Xenopus tropicalis: one gene and its partners. The protein of the gene in region 1 interacts with the protein of each later gene in a biochemical or structural test. Links are inferred from orthologs where the notes say so. Each region holds a gene or a part of one and is shown in the gene's direction. Other genes may lie near its edges.

The links. The genes of interacting proteins can lie anywhere in the genome.
Region 2: the proteins of ahr (region 1) and nr2f1 form a complex in vitro, tested with the Homo sapiens proteins (2 studies listed by BioGRID). The link is inferred for Xenopus tropicalis from reciprocal best matches to the Homo sapiens genes AHR and NR2F1.
Region 3: the proteins of ahr (region 1) and arnt form a complex in vitro, tested with the Homo sapiens proteins (14 studies listed by BioGRID, with this or other methods). The link is inferred for Xenopus tropicalis from reciprocal best matches to the Homo sapiens genes AHR and ARNT.

The regions. Positions count from the first base shown.
Region 1 is NC_030682.2:37,604,860-37,609,125, forward strand, and holds the start of ahr (aryl hydrocarbon receptor), read left to right. Parts: upstream 1-1,426; 5' UTR 1,427-1,690; coding exon 1,691-1,746; intron 1,747-4,266. UniProt on the Homo sapiens protein: Ligand-activated transcription factor that enables cells to adapt to changing conditions by sensing compounds from the environment, diet, microbiome and cellular metabolism, and which plays important roles in development, immunity and cancer.
Region 2 is NC_030677.2:178,175,083-178,179,348, reverse strand, and holds the start of nr2f1 (COUP transcription factor 1), read left to right. Parts: upstream 1-1,452; 5' UTR 1,453-1,968; coding exon 1,969-2,395; intron 2,396-2,657; exon of another isoform or gene 2,658-3,918; coding exon of another isoform or gene 3,919-4,027; intron 4,028-4,266. UniProt on the Homo sapiens protein: Coup (chicken ovalbumin upstream promoter) transcription factor binds to the ovalbumin promoter and, in conjunction with another protein (S300-II) stimulates initiation of transcription. Binds to both direct repeats and palindromes of the 5'-AGGTCA-3' motif.
Region 3 is NC_030684.2:126,632,744-126,636,954, reverse strand, and holds the start of arnt (aryl hydrocarbon receptor nuclear translocator), read left to right. Parts: upstream 1-1,397; 5' UTR 1,398-1,533; intron 1,534-4,211. UniProt on the Homo sapiens protein: Required for activity of the AHR. Upon ligand binding, AHR translocates into the nucleus, where it heterodimerizes with ARNT and induces transcription by binding to xenobiotic response elements (XRE).

The DNA.
Region 1 (4,266 bases):
TTCAAATGTTGGGAGGTATGCTATAGTACATATATGCTGTCCCCGATGCAATGCTATAGTACATATATGCTGTCCCCGATGCAATGCTGTAGTACATATATGCTGTCCCCGATGCAATGCTGTAGTACATATATGCTGTCCCCGATGCAATGCTGTAGTACATATATGCTGTCCCCGATGCAATGCTGTAGTACACATATGCTGTCCCCGATGCAATGCTGTAGTACATATATGCTGTCCCCGATGCAATGCTATAGTACATATATGCTGTCCCCGATGCAATGCTGTAGTACATATATATACTGTCCCCGATGCAATGCTGTAGTACATATATATGCTGTCCCCGATGCAATGCTGTAGTACATATATACTGTCCCCGATGCAATGCTGTAGTACATATATACTGTCCCCGATGCAATGCTATAGTACATATATGCTGTCCCCGATGCAATGCTATAGTACATATATGCTGTCCCCGATGCAATGCTATAGTACATATATGCTGTCCCCGATGCAATGCTGTAGTACATATATATACTGTCCCCGATGCAATGCTGTAGTACATATATATGCTGTCCCCGATGCAATGCTGTAGTACATATATGCTGTCCCCGATGCAATGCTGTAGTACATATATATGCTGTCCCCGATGCAATGCTGTAGTACATATATACTGTCCCCGATGCAATGCTGTAGTACATATATACTGTCCCCGATGCAATGCTGTAGTACATATATGCTGTCCCCCCTTCCAGAGTGCGTTACATGCATTTTTCCTGACCCTATTTTGTATTCAATGCAGTATACTCTTGGGGAAATATACAGTATAATTTTTTTAATGCAAAGAATGGCATCAAATCTGGCGTTCAGACGGTGTAAAACAAAACACACCTTGATAATCTTGCCATTATTTTACACAGCTTTTAAGCTGTTTTTTGATACATTTCGTTGTACACAGCATAACAAACAGGCCCCTAACTGTTCAGCAGTAGAAGTGTTTGCATAAGGCAGTACAGCCAGGGCGCCACAGTTCCTCCAATGTATCCGGCACATAAAGCAGCACAATGCCCTCAGCTATGAACAGTTTAGGACTGTAATTTTTTTCACTCAGAAATGCAGACAGGCGGGACAAAACACTCGCACTCGATGTTACTATTCTCCGCGCCTTTCTTCCTGAAACACCTCTTCCGGCAAGAACGCATTTTTTTACAACAGCAATCCCCAGATTCACTATTTTATTTTTTTAAATACAATTTAATAATTTTTTAATTCTTTAAAATACTGACTTGCTGTACGTCTATTTTACTGAATTGTATCTAGCATACACTTTATCAAGAAAGTGACGGGCGCTGTTTAACGCCGTCCCACCTAATAGATCTGTCAATACGCGCACACTTAGGCGCGCTCCAGTTAACGCGCATGCGCATCCCTACGTGGGCGTGCCTCAGTCAAGCAACGTCAGGCCCTGCTCTGCGCATGCGTGTGCTTGCATACGCTTCAAGTGACTTGAGGAAAAGTAGAATTCACGGAAACTCCCGTTTTTGCCTTCTTACCGGAACTTTGTAACTATTTACGGATACGGTGCCGGGCAGGCACAAGGGGGGAGGGTGAAAGGGAGGAAAGCCATTAAATATTTAGAATTTGGAAGTTGGATTCCTTGGCGTGTCTCCGCGGCGTAGAAGTGGACGGGATGAACGCCAACATCATGTACGCCAGCAGGAAAAGAAGAAAACCCGTCCAGAAAACGTAAGAAAGCACCCAAGTGCTGGGCCGGGGCGGGAGGGCAAAAATTGCGTCCCATCTCTTGGGGTAACTAGAAATCGCAGCCTTAGAGCGACGGCACTGACAGTGTTGGCTCAACAACTGCGAGCAATAGGGCAGCAAGGGCATTTGTCCTGCAGAGGGGCATACAGACAAGTGGAAAGAACTTGTTAGATACGTTCTGTATGTGCATCAGGCATACCCAGCTGAGGTTGGCCGGGGGAAGGGGCCATAGATTCAACGGCAGATGACTTGTTTGCTGTGTTGTGTATGTGCATCGGCAGTGCCCAGCTTGTGCTGCCCTGCGGAGTGCCCATAGATTTCAGTCGAAAGAACTTGTTAGATACGTTCTGTATGTGCATCAGCAATTCCCAACTGATGTTGGCCTGGGGCAGGGGCCATAGATTCAAGGGCAGATGATTTTGAAGTAGTGTGTTCTGTATGTGATCAGCAATGCCCAGCTTGTGCTGCCCTGCGGAGTGGCCATAGAATTGAGTGGAAAGAATTTAGATACGTTGGTTAGATACGTTCTGTATATGCATCAGGAATGCCCAGCTGATGTTGGCCTGGGGAAGGGGCCATAGGTTCAAGTGCAAATGATTTGTTAGGAATGTTCTGTATGTGCATCAGGTAATGCCCAACAGTCTTCCAGTTGATGTTGCCCTGCAGAGAGGGATATAGGTACAGTTGTAAAGGACTTGTTAGATTCATTCTGCGTATACGTCAGGCATGCCATCTTACAGTCTTCCAGTTGATGTTGCCCTGCAGAGAGGGATATAAGCTATAATTGTAAAGGACTTGTTAGATTCATTCTGCGTATACGTCAGGCATGCCATCTTACAGTCTTCCAGTTGAGCTTGCTGTGGGGATGGGGGCATAAATATAAGTAGAAAGGCCTTTTGAGATACTTTCTGTATATGCTTCAAGCATGCCCAGCTTGCAGGTTTCCAGATGATGTAGTACTGTGCTTATTGTTTGTTTGGGGGTGGGGGTCCCTGTCTTTCTGCCTATTTGGAAGATGCGCCTTAGTGATTACTACCATTGTATTTATTAGGGAAAGTGTACTATATATATATATATATATATATATATATATATATATATATATATATATATATATATATATATATATATATAACTATGTAATGAGTGTGGGTTCATTTCTGTATGGTGATATTTAGAGCCTTTTCCCGTAAGTGGTGGACATACTGCTGTCCAGGTCATAAATATTTTTCATAGACTCTGGTAAAACAGTGATAATCATAAAAAAAATAAGGAACTCTTGGATAGCTGGTGCATGGTGCAACTATAAATAGCTTTGTAATACTTTTTTGTTTTAACAGTATAAATTTATTTAATTTATTGAATTAATGGTCACCATAATTTAAACTGTTCAAAACATTACAGATCAGTGCATCACAATATAAGATATAATGTAATGCTTGGTATATACACTGTCAATGTCTGTGCAAGGTATTTAATCCACAGACTGTTTTTTGGGGGGGATCATTTTGTCTACATAATAGGTTTATCCAATTCCCTATTGCACACTGGGTAAGACCATCTATGTCGGAAGACTGTATAAAGGGGGATTCTCAACATGTGACCCTAAAACTGCTTTTGAGCTACACTTGGGCAGCTGAAGGCATTTGGCGGGGGGGGGGGGGGGGGGCTGCTGTATTGGAAGGATGATTGTTGTACCTTCCTGATTTTAGGTGTCTATGTAGTAACTTTGGCCCCAGTTATAGCATTTGTTGAAGTATAGATCTCAGCAGTGTTTCTTCAGATGCTGTATGTTATGCATTTTTAAGTATTGGCGATTCAGATGGTCAAAAAAACTCAGCTGTTATGTAACCATTGCACAAAACAACTGGTCTGTTCTGAAAGAAATTAGTGCCTGGTTGGCCAAATATGCATTTTCCAAAATTGTTTAGCAAAGGACAATATTCAAATATTGATTGTTGCTAAACTTTGATAAAGTGTTTTGAGAGACCTTAAGCTGATTGGTGTAAAAAGGTATGCTTGAAAAAAGTAGCAATAGAATATTATTTCTGTACTTCTAAAAATGACACACAGTATCCCAGATGGGTTTAAAGGGTAAAGTGTCCCATTTCAATTATGACTCTAGTCAATAAATTGATTGTAATGATATATTTTTGATGTTTCTAATTTTATTTTTTTGTCTGAGGGATCAGTGGCAGCAATGATATGTTTGGGAATGTGTTCATATAAAAAGGGTTTGCCATCAAAATTAAATACTCCTTTGACACTTTTAAAATTGTTCAGAGCCCTACCATGGCTTTATTTATTTACCTTTTTTGTATATGTGTACTGGAATCATTAGCGTAATATGTACTATGTGTAACTGGATTGGCTAACTAGATTAATACTGAGCTTTACAAATCCTGTTGCCAGAGAGGGTCTTAAAATGATCCTCCTGGCTCCCTGCTTTGTGGCATGGGATGTACTCTGTGTGTTCTTGTAAGTTCTAGCTCTTGGAGACCC
Region 2 (4,266 bases), on another chromosome or scaffold:
TGCCGCTGAAAGGCATGTGCGTCTCTAACAGGGTGCCTGTGCTGCTGGGACTCTTACAGGCATTGATCCTGCCAGACAACAAAAAGGGACAGGAGCTGCGTTTCATTAATAATTCCTCTAACGCTGTGGCGCAACTTCTCCACTAAATATCGCACTATAGCGGGGGATAGATATAAATATTTGCTCAAATACAGATACACATTTTTTTTATTATTATTCTCATTGTTAGAGATCAGTGGGAAAGTGCAGGGGGGTGCGGACAGGGAGTGAGAGTGCTGCTGGGGAGAGAGTGAGATTCCTTTTGACATCAATCTAAATAATTCACAGTCTCCTCATTTTTACATCTTCATCTCCAGGCCGTGTAAGTTCTGCCATTTTCCCATCAGCCACTCCAAGTGGTGCATTTTGTTGTGGCCCATGCTAATCAGGGCTGCGAGCAAATGGCAGCAGCGGGCAGGCAGGCGATGTGAATGAACAGTGCGCTTGTCAGAGCCCCCCCCCCCCCCCCCCCCCCATCATTCTCCCTCCTTCCAGCCCCAGTCGTAGGTAACAAGGCAAATGGAAAAGGGGGGGCCTGAGGCACAAGTGATCCCACCAATAGGAAGAGGGGGCTTGGCTAACCTTAGCCTCCCATTTTTCTTCCCCCCCAACTCGGGGCTCTGACCAGTCAGTCGCCTTTGATTATCAGTTGCCAGCAGCCCCTCTCTTGGCTCCTTGACATGAGCACCATATAAGGCAGCGATCTCCATAGAAACGTGTCAGTTTCAATAGTAGTGTCAAAGTTCACTATATACAGACAGTCGCGCAGATCCCCCTTTCGGAAACGTTGCTCCGCTGCTCTTCCCGTTTAAACGCATTCATTTGTGTGTGTGACTCTGTGCCTTCCCTTCTCCCGACTTCTCTTCTTATTGCATATTCTATTAGGTGTCGTCTGGGCTTTTTTTTTCCTTTTCTTTTTCCCCCCTTTGCCTCCCTCACTCCATTCCTGCAGGAGAGCTCCGCACAGCACCGACCGCTCCAGCCCATTGTTATTATTATTCTATTCTCAGAATCGCAGTGTCGCTGCTCCAGGAGGATACCGGTGTCTCTCTCTGACTTTTCCTGCGACTTTTTGTGTTTTTTTTTCCAACTGACTTGAGAAGCCAAAGAGCAGAAGGAGAAGCGGAGCCGCCGGCCGGTACAGCCACAGCCCGACCCCTATCAGAGCCTTGTTATTCCGGGCAGATGGGATAAGCCGGGCTCTGTCTCCTCATGGTGCGGACGGGTCGGAACCTTCTCTCGCTGTTTGTGACTTGTGATGCAATGAGAGTCGCACCGGGGTTATTTCTCCATCGCTCCCAATAAAGAGAGCATTTGCCAAGCGACAGATCGCGGAGGGAGGGAAGCGCCTGATCTGCTCCAGGCTGTGGATGAGGCAGATTCCCAGGACTGGCTCTATGAATGGCTGACTGCATTTTGCCCTGGATTTGGCCCCCGGACACTAACAAACCCTGATCAGGTCCCCCCACCCACCCCCTCCAAAGATTTATTCTTCATCGCCCTCCCTCCCGTCACCCAGGCCGGCTGCACACTGCTCCGTCCTGCAGAGCCCGCTGCCCCTGGCCGCCCTATGTCTGCCGGCGAAATTGGGGCTGCGAATCCCGCCGCCTCCCCAGCCTGAACCCTCCTCCTGCAGCCCGCAGCCCGGAGACCAGGGGAGGAGGACCAGATCGACACTCAGGGGAGGGGGGGAACAGTTGAAGCCGCACTTCCAGCGCCCAGCCGGGCACACAATACATCATTAGCTCCTGAGCCCATTTCACTGTGCAAGAGACAGGGGGAAATCCCTTGAGCGCTAATCCAAGGAAACGGCTCCCAGCAGCGGCCAGCACCACGGCAGAGACAGCCAGCTTCTTCTTCTCCTCCAGGATCAAATCCCCCCAGACCGCGGCCATAAGCTCCCTCTCCAGCACTTTCTGGGCCCGAGATATGGCAATGGTAGTTAGCAGCTGGAGAGATCCGCAGGAGGACGTGGCCGGGGGAAATCCGGGAGGCCCCAACCCGGGGGCCAGGGAGCAACAGCAAGCGCCCTCCGCTGCCCCCCACACGCCTCAGACCCCCAGCCAGCCGGGACCCCCATCCACCCCCGGTGCAGCCGGGGACAAGGGCCAGCAGGGCTCCGGGCAGAGTCAGCAGCAGCACATCGAGTGCGTCGTGTGTGGGGACAAGTCGAGCGGCAAGCACTACGGCCAGTTCACCTGCGAGGGCTGCAAAAGTTTCTTCAAGAGGAGCGTCCGCAGGAACTTAACGTACACATGTCGCGCCAACCGCAACTGCCCCATAGACCAGCACCACCGCAACCAGTGCCAGTACTGCCGCCTGAAGAAGTGCCTCAAAGTGGGCATGAGGAGGGAAGGTGAATATTTGCTCTGGGCACCGGTGTGTGTGTCTGTGTGTGTGTCTATGTGTGTGTGTGTGTGAGTGCGCCTGCCTGGCCCAATATGTATGACTTGCTGATGCATTGTGGCGCTATTAATATTAATAATCGCTGCGTTCCCCGCGTGTCTAGCTTTGTGTGGGTTTTGTCTGTGGAAGCATGCTGTGGGCTGTTGGCTGAGCCTCTCTATTCATGTGCTCCATCCCTTCCCTCTCTCTCTCTCTCTCCCTCTCTCTGTCATCATTAAAAGACACACACACACAGCAAGTTCAGCCAAGCACCTCTCCCCCACCAATCCACATGAAAACAATGCAATTTACTGTACTTTCCATCCATGCTCTGGGCACTCCAGGCATCCTCTAGTTCCTCTAGTTCCAGCAATTCGTGGCCTTGCTAAACACATGCCCTCTCTGCTCCACTTCATATTCTTCATATTCAAAATGCATTTATTCTTCATATACAGTCCATTTTCATTATGCCATCCCTCTCTTTAATCCAGACATAATTTAAATTAGCAGCCACCTTGTTTAAGAAGGTTGTATTGTATTTTATATATAGGCCATTATCTCACACACTTTACAGAGAGAACTAAAAGTTTCCTCCCTTTCGTTACAGAAGCTTAAAGTGTGTGAATGAATGGGGTGAGGCTGTATATGCGGGGTCCGTAGCTGCCTTGTACTTGTTCCTGCCTGTCAGTGGGTTTTGTGTATCTGTGTCAGGTTGTCAGTGTGTGTAAGTTTATGTGTGTAGGAGTAGACAAACTGTTACATCATTGACACATCCTGATACATAGTGATATATAAAAAATATTGTGTACTTGTGTATTTGTATTAGATTGTGTGATTGGTATTTTGGGTGGTTGTGTACAGTAAAGAAAAGTAATGTTTTGTGAGAATGAATGTGTGTGTGAGTGTGTGACTATGTACAAATAGATACAGTGTAACAATCAAGCCAGTGCCCAATGCTCTGCACATAGGCATCACCGCATTTACAAACCACGCTGAAACTTATATAAAACCAAAAGTCACGTTAATATTTCCAAGGTAATTTAGGTGAGGAAAGCAGGAAGCAAATACATTCATCCATAGGCTTATAATTGTTCTATATTTTATCTCTAATGAACAGGTTACTCCACTTGTATTTAAATGCAAAGCGTCGCCATCTAAAAATCCGAGGTTTTATTAAAAATGCAGCAGCCTGGGAATACTTGTCCTGTATAGTGAGAGCCTATCAATACCAGACATGCTAGTCATTTAAATTGGCCCACTACACAAATCATTGCCATATGATTGCATTGCATGGGGTGAGTTCATATTTTTTGTGTGTCTGTGTGGGTTCTAAATTTAGTTCAGTTTCCATTTTCTTTTTGTTAGTTTTCATGTCCTGAGAGCAGGCAGTTAGCGCCTATGGAGTGAGCCCCCACGTCCCCATTAGAACAGTTTGTGAGCTTTGCAAGCAGGGAGCATAAATAAGCTTGCTCACGTTTAGCATCCTTGCACTTAATGATCCAGTGTTTTGCATTGCCACGTTTGGTCACTCACTCTGCCAGCAGCCACACTGCACCAAGCCTTGCATACATTAATTGGCTTCTCCTCACTATGTTTAATTATTGTAAGTCCAATTTTATCTTCTATTCTCATTGTTTCACTGTATCACTTCGGATATTCCGTGTGTTTGAAATGATTGTAGATCCTGACTATTGATGAATATATATATATATATATATATATTAAGTATATATACATATAGTGATGTGTGTGTATATATATATATATATATATATATATATATATATATATATATACATACAGTCATATATATTTATATATTAATACACATGATATATACAT
Region 3 (4,211 bases), on another chromosome or scaffold:
CTTACTAAATATGCCCCTAATTGTTATGCAGGTGGTGTTCCATTGAGCCTGGGACCCAACTAGGCCCAGAAGCCTGTGCCCAAGCCGAAGCCAATCCTACTAGTAATTCTAAGCCGGGGATCAGGGACCCCTTGAATGAGGTGAAGTTATTTGACTCTGTAATAGCAGCTCTAGGAGTGTGACTTAGCAAGAGCAGCTGTGTGCTCCAACAAACGAGAATTTAGTGGGTTTAGTACACCCAAGGCTCTACTGCCTTATTGTAGGGACAGCAGTCCAGACATAGGATTCAGGCTGTTTCTAAACCCTGGACCAGAGTTGGCTGTAGGGAACCGGGCCAGTTAAGGTTGACACCCTTGGGACTCCTGTCTATTATCACTTATCTATCTCCACCATGGTGCTACACTACTCTGCTTATATTGCAACAGTATCTGATCTTGTACAACTATACCTTAAAACTGTATTAACCCTGCATATGCTGTGCATTCCATCAATAAACTAAGTTCTAGTTTAATGCAAAACAACCTCTGGTGTCCATAATATATACACCTTTGGCAGTGGTGGAGAATTGCAGTTCAGCAACATCTCATAAGCGCATTTCTCCGTGCTCATACCCACTAGCTGGACATTGGCAAATACTAGCCAAAATAGGGTTACATCTCTATTACCAGAATCAGCAGCATCTTCACCATGAGACAATAAAAAAAACCTTTCCTTGTGCGTATATGCTGCCAGTGCCCCATGTGTTCGTAGGAATTTGGTATTCTGATGTTAATGGGGACTAAGTGATTTGGGAAAACCTTGAGTGGAAATCCCAGCCAGCAGTGTGGGGGTTAGTGCTGGATATTAGGTATACTACCGGGCACAAACGTACAGCGCTGCATAACCTTGTGGCGCTTTACAAATAAAGTTATACATACATACATACATAAAAAGTCTTTTGGCTAGCTTGCACAATCCGGGGCAACTCCCCTTGCTGTGATATGGGGTTATCCCTGCAATAGCCATATACCTCCTAAGGGTATCACTCAGTTATAGCTGTTCAATGCCTCTGTGGTAGCACAATAAATAGACTTTTTTATTATATGTTTCCGTACACCATGAAGACAGTAGTAATGCCCAGCACCATAACTTCCCAGCATACAGCAGTCCATGGGCAGAAACTGCACATGCGCGATTCTCCATCAATATACCCCTGCTGCGCATGGGCGATTCGTCTCCAATGTACCGCTGCTGCGCATGCTCGACATTCCAAAAATAATTTCTACACTGTATGATTCGTCAAAAGCACGCCCACTACTCTGACCCCTCCTACTATTCCCTTTCAAGCTTTTCCCCTTATCGCTGGTATTCGGTTAGGTACTTTCTCTCGCATTGCGTCGCTAGCTGAATGGCGTCATGTCCGGTGTTGCGCTGTGAAGCTTCCTCAGGGAGGGCGATATCCGTTCGGTCGCCCCGGAAACTTTAGGAAAGAGATAGCCGAGGGTTGGACTTAGTACGGAGGTGGGCAGGAAGGCAGCTGGGCTTGGGGGGCAGGTAAGGAGTTCGCTAATTGTTCTGCATTTGTGTCATGTACTTGTGGGAACGGCGGCTTATGGCGTACGTGTTAATGCGCAATTAGTTGCCTCAGAATTCGCTCTGGTACAGCTACCTGTCGCCTCTGTGTGCCTGTGGCGGTTCCACATGGGTGGGACGGGGAGCTGGTAATGGGCAGTGATACGTGTGGGGTACCTGTGATAAGCTCTTGTGTTGTGCAGGCAGGTCAGGCCAGTTGCCCGGGGGCTGGGCATGGGTAGGACATGTTGCAGAGTGGGCATTTCTAAACAACCTTATAGTTGTACTTTATATTTTTATAGTGTTGAATTATGCACTGCCTTCTGATGCTTTCCTACTTCACATGGCAGTAAGTGATCCCAGAAGCCAAACGCCTATTACTCTGTGAGGCTTCACTGCTATTGTTACTGTTTATTATTTACTATATTGTATTCTATATCTTATGGTATAACTGGGAGCTTTGTTCCACAATAAAGGTGGCCATATATAGGGCGATTGTAGCTGCCAATATCGGTAGCTTATCGGCCCATGTAGGGGCACAAACGGCAGGTCTGCCCGACCGACATGGGCCTGAAATCATCCAGATATCGATCAGGCAGGTTAAAAAATTTAGTCGGATCGGGGACCGCAACCAACTGCTCCTATTCCTGCTTTCTAATTCGATTGTTTGGCCCCAGGGCCAAGCGACCAAATTAGCCTAAAGCTGGCCATACCATCGGTCGCACGAAACATCGTCAGATCCGCCACACACCATTCAGGGCTGAATCGGCAGGTAAGGAGGTAGAAACAAAAGGATTTCTACCTCCTTCTGCCGATTCAGCGCTGAAGGGAGATTTTGGTCAGGCGCCTTCTATGGCGCCCGATCAAAATTTTCAAACTGGTCCGATCGGCGAGTCGGCCGATATCAGCAGCTTCCTGCGATATCGGTCAACTCGCCGACATACCATACCCGCACCAAATATCGTACGAAACGAGGTTTCGTACGATATTATCGGTGCGGGTATGGCCACCTTAAGTTCACTCGATATCGCACACCCGTAGGTGGGGATAACGGGAGAAGATCCGCTCACTTGGCAAGGTCGCCAAGCGAGCGAATCTTAACCTGTATGGCCACCTCAAGTATGACTATTATGCAGTTTGGTGCCCTTGGAGAGACTATTAGGGCTCTGGCACACGGGGGGGGTTTAGTCGCCAGCGACAAATCTCCCGTGTCTCGGGCGACTAATCTCCCCAGATTGCCATCCCACCGGCGAAAGTGTAAGTCGCCGGTGGGATGGCACACGCGGTGGCGCAATTTCAGTGAGATTGCACAAGTTGCCTCGATCTCACTGAAATCGCGCCACAGCGTATGCCATCCCACCGGCGATTTACATTTTCGCTGGTGGGATGGCAATCCGGGGAGATTAGTCGCCCAGGACACAGGAGATTTGTCGCGGGCGACTAATCTCCCCGTGTGCCAGAGCCCTTAGGGGGAAGACTCGCGGAGCTACTAGTAGCAGCTACTTTACGTAGCTACTAAAATAGACAGTGCTGATCATTTACTGATAATCTCTCTACGTGTGTTTTAGCAGATTCAGTTCTCAGTATTGTCTATAGCACGGTATATTCTGGAGTCTAGTAGTTGCTACTAGTTGCTCAGTGTGTCTTCACCCGTAGAACTCAAGGGGCCTAAGAGAAATAATAGGTCTCTAGTCAGTAAAATTTGCGGAAGTAATTATAATAGGACAAATTATTCTGCTAATGAAAATGCTAGCATAGATGAGAAGGTGTATACGCACACTTTATAAATATTGTGTTGTGAATAGCTTTACTTATTATTTCCCCCACCCCATAGATCCAAAACCAATTGGCTCCAGGACTACTATCCCCCCTCAAATGGTGGTCGCAACCATCGACTCGTTGGTGTCACTTTGTCACTCACTTTTGATATAAGGCCACGTGGCGTTTGAGTTTGTAAGCATACTTGTGCCTGGGTGATTTTATAATCAGGTGAAAAGAGCTGGCCCAACTAATAATTAATTTGTCTCATACATCTATTAACCTGACGTTTACATAACTTTCACTCACCCCGGCCCAAATACAAATGTAAGCCTTATTTTTCTGCTAATGGCTGTCTCAGCCATCATTTTAATGGAAAGAATAAATGGTAAAATGCAATACTGGTTCATCCCTTCATGTTGGCCTTAGATAACGTGATGCAGAACTAGAGCAAATCTGTGTCTGTCTGTGTCAGTCTTTAGCTGCTGTATGTATGCCTTTAAATCTCTCACTTTCTATAGATCCGTGGTGGATGGGCTTGTGTAACACTTTCTTTCTGTCTACTATTTCTATAGAGTAACCATAGCTAGCTTTTTTTAATCTACTTATTATTATGTTCCTGCTGCGGTGTGTATATAAACCCATAGCTGTATAATATCCGTGCTGCTGTGTGTGTATACAGTGGCTTGCAAAAGTATTCGGCCCCCTTGAACTTTCCCACATTTTGTCACATTACAGCCACAAACATGAATCAATTTGATTGGAATTCCACGTGAAAGACCAATACAAAGTGGTGTACACGTGAGAAGTGGAACGAAAATCATACATGATTCCAAACATTTTTTTTACAAATAAATAACTGCAAAGTGGGGTGTGACAAAATGTGGAAAAGTTCAAGGGGG